Arabidopsis thaliana: one gene and its partner. The protein of the gene in region 1 purifies or fractionates together with the protein of each later gene. This does not show direct contact. Each region holds a gene or a part of one and is shown in the gene's direction. Other genes may lie near its edges.

The links. The genes of interacting proteins can lie anywhere in the genome.
Region 2: the proteins of RRP45a (region 1) and RRP41 purify together in Arabidopsis thaliana (affinity purification with mass spectrometry; 2 studies listed by BioGRID, with this or other methods). This does not show direct contact.

What each region holds. Positions count from the first base shown.
Region 1 is NC_003074.8:4,154,281-4,158,476, forward strand, and holds RRP45a (ribonuclease PH45A), read left to right. Parts: upstream 1-1,773; 5' UTR 1,774-1,926; exon of another isoform or gene 1,927-2,050; 5' UTR 2,051-2,064; coding exon 2,065-2,201; intron 2,202-2,327; coding exon 2,328-2,537; intron 2,538-2,611; coding exon 2,612-2,707; intron 2,708-2,788; coding exon 2,789-2,903; intron 2,904-3,013; coding exon 3,014-3,094; coding exon of another isoform or gene 3,095-3,121; exon of another isoform or gene 3,122-3,184; coding exon 3,185-3,373; coding exon of another isoform or gene 3,374-3,409; exon of another isoform or gene 3,410-3,466; coding exon 3,467-3,562; 3' UTR 3,563-3,684; downstream 3,685-4,196. Other genes in the region: HAC5 (histone acetyltransferase of the CBP family 5), read left to right, coding at 98-215; AT3G13000 (ubiquinone biosynthesis protein (Protein of unknown function, DUF547)), read right to left, coding at 3,934-4,196. UniProt on the Arabidopsis thaliana protein: Probable 3'->5' exoribonuclease involved in the regulation of cuticular wax biosynthesis. Can perform exosomal functions and partially complement the yeast rrp45 null mutant.
Region 2 is NC_003074.8:22,800,720-22,805,733, reverse strand, and holds RRP41 (3'-5'-exoribonuclease family protein), read left to right. Parts: upstream 1-1,629; 5' UTR 1,630-1,899; intron 1,900-2,541; exon of another isoform or gene 2,542-2,653; 5' UTR 2,654-2,712; intron 2,713-2,812; 5' UTR 2,813-2,823; coding exon 2,824-2,877; intron 2,878-2,966; coding exon 2,967-3,013; intron 3,014-3,105; coding exon 3,106-3,166; intron 3,167-3,258; coding exon 3,259-3,300; intron 3,301-3,379; coding exon 3,380-3,444; intron 3,445-3,531; coding exon 3,532-3,610; intron 3,611-3,704; coding exon 3,705-3,741; intron 3,742-3,830; coding exon 3,831-4,033; intron 4,034-4,117; coding exon 4,118-4,207; intron 4,208-4,304; coding exon 4,305-4,352; 3' UTR 4,353-4,513; downstream 4,514-5,014. Other genes in the region: CRF6 (cytokinin response factor 6), read right to left, coding at 1-460; AT3G61610 (Galactose mutarotase-like superfamily protein), read right to left, coding at 4,705-4,913, 4,994-5,014. UniProt on the Arabidopsis thaliana protein: Non-catalytic component of the RNA exosome complex which has 3'->5' exoribonuclease activity and participates in a multitude of cellular RNA processing, maturation and degradation events.

The sequences.
Region 1 (4,196 bases):
ATCTAACTACTTATAAAGCAAATTTTCAATTATCAGAATAGATTTGTTCAAGAAGGTGATGTGTTTAATAATGATCTGACAAGTTTATTTTTTGCAGAGAGTTGAGAGCTCATTTTAGTAGAAAGCAGCAACAGGCAGATTCAAGACGCAGAGCAGCGGTGATGGAGATGGTGCGGCAGAGAGCCGCTGATACAACGGCCTCCACTCCTGAATGATTAACAGACATGTTATATTCTCTGTCTATGGGGTCAAGGGTTCGTGCCTGAAGTAACGATCCAAATGGCAGGCGAATCAAGAAAGAATGAGATATTTTTGGCTGATTAATTTGGAGATTCAAGAAGCTAGTTTAGGAGAGCTCATGGGAAAATGAGCAGATGGGTCTCTTCCACAACTGCTAATTTAGGTTCACAACGAGGTACATAGATATTTTTTCTTACATGTATTCTAAAGTATAGACATGTGTATAAGGGAATTGTGATTTTGATTCAATTTTTGGTGATTCTGTTCATTGAATCCTATTGAATTCGACTACTGAATTTGATCTTAATTTACTTACTCTTTGATTCCTTCGTATTGTATATGTGGTATTTTTGGCAAAGCTATAAGCTAATAAATTCTTGATTTTCAATCATTACATATACTAGACTGGAAATGCAAGTTTTTACTTTATATTCAACTAGAATACTAGAGTTTATCCAGTTGAACGAAACCAAGACCCCGAAGCATTTTGGAGTCATTAGGCAACGAACCCATTATAATGTATATAGAAATGATCTTAGTACGGCGAAAGCCAATGAAATTAACAAAAAATACACTGCCAAACTAAAGTAGTAGAATTCACCTACTAGACATTCCATGGTGAAATGGATCAGACAGTTTGATGAAACTCTGGGAAGCTTCATAAGAGCATTGGTGATCGTCAGGAACCTTTTCTTAACATCCTTGCCTTCACTCAATTCGACATTAACATTGACAGTTTCAAGACGTTTTAAATTTGCCAAGAAATGCCTCATTCGTTTCAGCTCTTCCTCTTATCCCTCTTAGGGGTGCAAACGCAGGCGTCACCACGTTTGTCTGTAACTTCATGCACAAGACCGTGAAAGCAAAAAGAACAAGGCATAAGCAAATTCATGGGAATAATAACTTTAGCAAAGAAACAGAAGTGCGTGGTGATCGAACGAAATAGATGATACCTTGATGACTTAAGTTTCTAGATTTGGAGAGTAGTTAAGGAGAAGTGGCTCCACTTACCAGCCTCTTTCTTTGTTACACTCAAAAGATAAAGTAACGAGGTTGGGAAACACCGGGATTGATTTACAGCACGAGTAAAATACCTGGGATCTATTGTCACAACCAAAACAAACATATACACAAAATGAGACTTTGCTAGCTAGCATGCACTTCAAATAGAATCAACCAATAGAAGAAGAAGACGTAGCAGAGACTGACCTCAAGAGAAACAGCGGACAAGTGAAGGGTTTTAACATTGCTTATCCCTGCAACCAGATTCGTAACATAACCAACAATATCCTCTGTATCACCATCCACATAATAATTAATAGTCATCTGGAAGACGCTCCCATGAGTGTAGCTTCTACAAGGGAACCCAAATCAACCTCATAATCTTCTGCGGGATAACCAGAATAGTCAAGATAGACAAGACTGGGTGTATCAAACAGACGAAAACCCTTGTGACCGTTAGGGTAACGGGGCCAATGATAAGAGCTGGTCAGTCGTTTGATAAGAGAAGGACTAGACACGGTCCCTCCATCAAACAAATATTATTAAAAGGAAAAAAAAAGAGATAAATGAAAATTGGTCCATAAGACAAATACTGAAAAGACGAGGGGTTAAATTGAAATAAATCCCTCCTCTTCTCTGTTCACAAAATCCTCGCGCCACAAAACCCTAGCTGAACGGAAGAAGGTTAGTGGTTTAATCTCCCTCTGGGGAAAGCTGCTTATGTTGATTCTCTAGGCTTTTTTATATTCTGAAAGTTTTGATTTTTTGTATCTTGTTTTGTTTCTCAATCATCAATTTGTGGTAGTAGCTCACTAGCAAACAATGGAGGGGAGGTTGAATAATATGTGGAGGTTGACTGTGAATGAGAGCAAATTCGTTGAATCTGCGTTGCAATCTGAGCTCAGAGTCGATGGTCGTGGCCTTTATGATTACCGCAAGCTTACTATTAAGTTTGGCAAGTGAGTTTTTCTCCTATTCATTGATTATGTTTACCTTTAAAGCTTCAATTTTTGTTGATGCTTTTGATCTCTGGTTTTGCAATGTTGTTACTGATGATTAATTTAATCTGTGTGAGTTTTCGATAGGGAATATGGCAGCTCACAAGTTCAACTGGGTCAGACTCATGTAATGGCTTTTGTGACTGCTCAGCTAGTACAACCTTACAAAGACAGACCTAGTGAAGGCTCCTTCTCTATCTTCACCGAGTTTTCTCCAATGGCTGATCCATCGTTTGAGCCAGGGCATCCTGGTGAATCTGCTGTTGAGCTTGGCCGTATTATAGACCGTGCTCTACGGTAAACCTCTCTTTTTGATTTGATGCTACAAACAAAGTTTTTTGTATTGATGGTCTTTGTGTTGTTGGTTGCAGAGAAAGCCGTGCAGTAGATACAGAGTCGCTTTGTGTTCTAGCCGGAAAGCTGGTTTGGTCTGTTCGCATTGATCTTCACATTTTGGACAATGGAGGGTAGGTCTTCTTCATGTTTATCCAAGGTTCTTGTTGTGAGAATGATCTTTTATGTGTATATTGTTACTCACTCTCTTACAGGAACTTGGTTGATGCTGCTAATGTTGCTGCCTTAGCCGCACTCATGACTTTCAGGAGACCTGATTGCACTGTAGGAGGGGACAACAGTCAAGACGTGATCATACATCCACCCGAAGTTAGTAATTCATATTTTTTTTTTTTCAGTTTAGTTGATGAACTTAATAACTAGAGAGAAGGAAGTTCTCAACTTCAACTGTTTTGTACTATATTTGGTTTCTTTTACAGGAAAGGGAACCACTTCCTTTGATAATACATCATCTCCCAATAGCCTTCACGTTTGGATTTTTTAATAAAGGCAGTATCTTGGTAAAAAAATTGTGTTTTGTTTATTGATAATCTTGTTTACTACGTTTTTGTTTGCATCTGAGATTACAAGTGTGTTGTGTTCTTATGCAGGTGATGGACCCAACTTACGTTGAAGAAGCTGTTATGTGTGGGAGAATGACTGTGACAGTCAATGCCAATGGCGATATATGCGCAATCCAAAAACCAGGAGAAGAAGGCGTGAACCAGAGTGTAATCCTTCATTGCCTGCGTCTTGCTTCTTCAAGAGCTTCTGCAACAACAAAGATAATTAGAGATGCAGTAGGGTTTCGTAATCCGGAGCGTTTTCCTTTTTAGATTGATTTCTATTGATTTAAGGATTTGATTTTGTTGTGCTTTGTTTTCATGGTGTAGGTTGAAGCATACAACCGTGAGAGGAGCTCACAGAAGGTGAAGCGGCATCATACTTTGGCTAAGTCTGAAGTTTTGGGACCTATTGTAGTTGTGTAGGAAGAGACATAAATAAAACATTTGCTGTGGTCGTCGATTGTAAATAAAGATTTTAGTTGTAGAAATCTTATCAGCAACACTAAGCTATAAAAACGTCGATATGATCAAGACATGTTGAGACTTCTCGCACTTAAATAGATGACTAGTCTCAACTCTTCCATTTATGTCTTTCTGAAAGAAAGTTGAAACACAACATATTGAGACTTCTCAGAATTAATATGCATATCCTGAATAACATGTACACTATAAGCCAAAAGCTATGTTGGAATAATAGTAGTAACCATGATCATGAAACAGCCTCCTCTCACTGTTCGTTCTTATGAGGTCGGTTAAAGCTTTTTTTACAACAGAAGAGAGTCTTTGAACTGTTATTACAACGAGGTGTTGTCGTCGGGGAGAAACAGGTATCTGAAACGAGAATCGAAGGGGAGTATTCCGCAGTTCCGTGAAGCGAGAAGGCTTTGTCTTCTCTGAGAGATGCATTGCTCCACAAAAGCAGCTTGATGTGGAGGAAGGTACCTTGATATCCAGACCCCCAAGTTCGAATCCTCCACCAAACTCTTGGCATAACAATGGAGCATTTTGGGTAGTAAGAGCTTCCCTTTGCTGCTCAGCCCTACCGATGCTTGTATGA
Region 2 (5,014 bases), about 19 Mb from region 1:
GTCCTTTGAGATGAATCGCGGCTCTATCGTACGCTATAGCAGCTTCCTCCGCCGTGACAAAAGTCCCAAGCCAAATCCGAGTACGGCTCGACGGATCTCTAATCTCCGCCGCGAATTTTCCCCAAGGTCTCTGTCTCACGCCTCTGTACTTTTTAGGCTTCACCGACGTCGACACGTCATCTTCAACCACTACGCTTTCCTCCTCCTTGTGCTTACCTTTCCTCGCCGCGGTGGAGGAAGAAGATTCACCTTGGCAGAATCTAATCTCCTTCACGTATCGTTTCACTCTTGGAACCACCGTGACGTTGTTGTTGTCGTCGTCGTCGCTAGACGAGTCAGTAGCGAAAGGATCAGTAACAGTGATACGGACCAGTCTCGGAGACCCGTTAGATGGTGTAGCTGCTACGTTTGTGACCGTACGATTCTCTGTGAACTTCACTCGTCTCGTTCGTCTCTCCATAGAGAGAGAGAGAGAGAGGGAGTTAAAAAATGAAGAGAGGTTTTTTTCACTGTTTTGAATTTGCAGAGAGAGAGAGAAGAAGAGTCAAAAGGTTAAAGAAGAATCGCCGTTTCTCAGGAACATCCTTCTTAAATACTATTAACTCATCACTATTTTTGGAGATTTTTGTTTAGTAACGTGATTTTTTCTATGTAATTAATTTAATTAGATTTTAACTGTTACAGAGAAATTGATGCGTGTTCAACACTATTCATATGATATGAGACACTGACCCAATCAAAACTCATTCAACCTTATAACTAAACGTATCTTAAAATATAGTTGGTGAAATGACATACGTTTATCAAAGCTTAACCTATTGAAATTTAATCCGGTTAATGGAGTTTATAAACCGGGAATTAGATTTGGATTTAATGTAAAGAGGGACGATGCTTAAGGGCGGTTTCGTGGCGGCCAATGGGGGATCCAGAAACGGCTTTCCGCATCTCAGATTGAGACGTTAGATTTATGACACGTGGTAGTTACCGTACCGAAAGTAGAGCCAATTGTCCTAATCTATAGCTTGGTCTCCAAGCAACTTTTAACTCTTTTACGCGCGGTCTGTTTTACGTTTGCTACACGCGCCGGCTAGTGGGCTCCACGCGTGTGAGATTGGTCACGAGTATGTGTCAATTCGCATTGACCCAATATGGAAATTGTGAAGTTTAATGGTAATGAATCTAACGATGTGTTTGAAAGAGTAATAAAATCTCGTCTTTAATATTAAAATATATTTTTAATTTCGGAAAAAATTTATGATCTTTTGCTTGGAGACCAAGTCTCTTATCAGAAACTTTATTAGAAAAAGCTACTATTAAAAAGGTAACTAGAAATTAGATTTCCATAGTTAATGGTTGAGCTTTGACTAGATTTGGTCCTAAAATAATAATTGAAAAATAAGCTTTTATTATATCGATAATTCTACAAGTTAATATACCAAATCTTGTAACTTACAGTAATTCTATATTGTTTTATTTTGAACCTTATATAACTTACACGAATTCACCTGTGATTTTATAAAAAGATACATGTGATTTCAAGACTTTTTTTTTACGTGGGATTAGTCAGGTACTCGTGTTAAAAGTTAGACCTTAAAAATAACAGTCAGTTTGATTTAATAATAGTTAGTAGTATGTATATGGAACATTAAGTCGGAGAGGGGTTAAACTCTAGTGTATCGGGTTGCTTGGCATGGAACAGATATCGCGGAACCGGTAAGTCGGAGTGGTTAGCTTTCTGGGAGAGTTGTGGTGGGTTGGTGCGACGGCGGAGATAGGTGCAGATGGAAACCGGAATCTTCCAGCTGCGTTTCTCGATCCGTCGTCTGCGGCCGCAAAGCTGTGATGCTTGAGTCCGCCAGATATAAGGCTCCGACCACTCTGCTTCCGACCAGCAGCAAGGTTCGAACCTCTTTGTTTGTCGGTGACTTTTTCTGTTTAACCTATTTTGTAACTGGATTTCATCTGTGTATTGGGTCTTAGCCCATGCCCTATTGGGTTGTTTTTAATATATTAAAAAAAAAAAAATTGTATATGGAACATTAAATTGCATGACATTCGTTAGGATAGTCGTAGTAGGTACTACTTTTACTAGGTAGAGACTAGAGAGTGGTCTCTCTTAAATTGTCTAATATGGTTTTGTATACTTTTTGATCCAAACATACATACATAAAAAAAGAAGATGTTAGCAAACCTTAGTAAATAATTCCATCATCTCCTCCGTCAGGAACCCGTCATTTTCATATACCTCACTTTGCATTCATTTGTCGGCATTGCCACACGTAACTCCCGACACGTTGATACTACTATCAATATACTATTGACTTAGAAATTGATCTAGATACTATATTACTATTACTAATACATACTTGAAATAACAGAGTCAACAAGAAAAGCCTTGATAAAAGAAAACAACAACAATTTGAGCTATACTTTTGAAGGGATCTCACTCTTAATTCTCTTATTGCATGCATGTTCCCGCAATTTTGAGCTTTACTTTTCTTTGCAAGCGAATTACCAATTTGCCTGGCTTCATAAACTAGAAGTTATAAAAAAAAATCCTCCTGTGATTTGACGGTTTTACCCTTAAAATCTCACTTAATTCACAAAAAGGAACCAAAAAGCCCTAATCTTTATGTTGTCGACACTCTTTCAGTTCTCTCGACGCCGTCCATCGCCCTCCGTCATATCGCCGCCGCTAAAGTACTGGCAGAGGTAAATTCGTCTCTTGTTCCCTGTTCTGTGGGATCAGAAAGTATTAAACTTGTTCTGTTTCTGTCTTTCATTGCTCTCATCCTTGATTATCTCTACCTAGAGTTCACAACAATGGAGTACGTAAACCCTGAAGGTCTTCGATTAGATGGTCGCCGATTCAACGAGGTATGTTTGCATCTCTATTCACTGTCTTTGTAAGCCACTGCCTTCACAAGTTAATCGGTCTATTCGTGATTGCTTGTAATGAATCTCAGATGAGGCAAATCGTAGCTGAAGTTGGAGTTGTTTCTAAGGCTGACGGGTAAAACTCAAAATCTGTCTCTTATCTTTTTCCGTATCTCAGTTCTATATTCGGCACTTTTATATGAACAAAAATTCCAACTTTGTTTCCAGTTCTGCTGTCTTCGAGATGGGTAATACCAAAGTAATTGCAGCTGTTTATGGTCCAAGAGAGGTACTTGATTACTCTGTTACTCACCTATCAAGATTGATACTTTAATTGTATAATTCAGCGAATTGGTTATTTCTGTTAATGTGCTCCTTCAGATTCAAAACAAGAGCCAGCAAAAGAAGAACGACCATGCAGTGGTATGTATATGCTTTGATCTTGTTTAGTATTGTTCTTGGTGAATATGGAATGCTTATTGCTAATTGTATGTTTTGGTAGGTGTTGTGTGAGTATAGTATGGCTCAGTTTAGTACTGGTGATCGTAGAAGACAGAAATTCGACAGGTTACATTTTACTATATAGCTGAGAGACTCTTTGCTTTTTCTTACGAAAATCATAAAGTTTGAATTGTTGTGTATTATGATGGTCAGGCGATCAACAGAGCTATCTCTTGTCATCCGTCAGACAATGGAAGCTTGCATATTAACCGAATTGATGCCTCACTCTCAGGTTTACTTTTTACTCTCCGGCGATATTGAAATCTAAATTTTCTTTCTTCCTCCTCCTTTTGCTTGCTTCCTGATGAATTGTTTCCTTTATGCAGATCGATATTTTCCTTCAGGTTCTACAAGCTGATGGAGGTAAAATTAAACTAAACCTCTGTTCTGAAGTTGACCTTTTGATCTCTTTCAATCTCTGATCAGCCATTAGTGTTATGTTCTGTAATCAGGAACAAGATCAGCTTGTATCAATGCCGCGACTCTAGCTCTAGCAGATGCTGGAATTCCAATGCGTGATCTCGCTGTTTCCTGTAGTGCTGGATATTTAAACAGTACTCCTCTTCTTGATCTGAACTATGTTGAAGACAGTGCTGGAGGAGCTGATGTAACCGTCGGTATTCTACCTAAATTAGACAAAGTGTCACTCCTTCAGGTTTTTCTTCAACTCTTCATATCAGATTTCTATACATTCGCATTCAGATGATTCTAGACGCTTACGTTTGGGTTTAATGTGTAGATGGATGCCAAGTTACCGATGGAAACATTTGAGACAGTGTTTGCATTGGCTTCTGAAGGTTGCAAGGCAATTGCAGAGAGAATACGCGAGGTAACAATGGACTTCTGAATCTTTCTAAGTTTTCCCTTTCCACCATTGAAAAGCGTTCTTTGTTTTCTAAGTCTTTGGCTCTTCTGTCTTTGTGAAGGTACTTCAAGAAAACACCAAACAGCTAGAGTATCGCCGAGCTGCATAAACTTTAGAGTTAGAGAAAAAAACGTAAAGCTCCAAGATTTTTGTTAATTAGATTTTGCTGTTGTTTGTGGAAGTTGAGGATAAAAAGCTAGTAGTGCAAACTCTTTTTGGGAAAAATGAATCAATTTGGTAAAAAGATCAAACTGAATCGATTGAACACAACTTGTCCTCACATTCTTACATTAAGCCGAGGAAAAAAAAGACCAGAGGCTTTTTCTGTCACTACATCACAAGACTGGTCTGAGAAATCACCAGGTCATAAGCTCTAATGTGATAAAACAAGAATCAACAAAAAGAAAGAGATAAAAGAAACGGTGGCTCTGCTCTTCCAATGTTGCATACAGAAACTAGAGTCAGAATCCCTTGCTCTGTAGTTCGAGTTGATCGAAGCAGAAACTGGATTTAACAGCGGTCAATATTAGCCGGCCGGTCCATTCTTCTCCTGGCTTCAAAGTGATCGGTCTCTCCACTGCTGCACCATCCACACAAAGCATGCTTTTGTACTCTTCATCACCAAAATCCGCCATTGTTTTCGATTTCTTCTCCCATGGATTCCACACCACTGTACCATCCATCACGATTAATGAATCATATCATATACAACAAACAAGTAATCGAAACGAGTTGTTGTGCGATTATTACCGGTGTCTGGAAGTCCTTCCT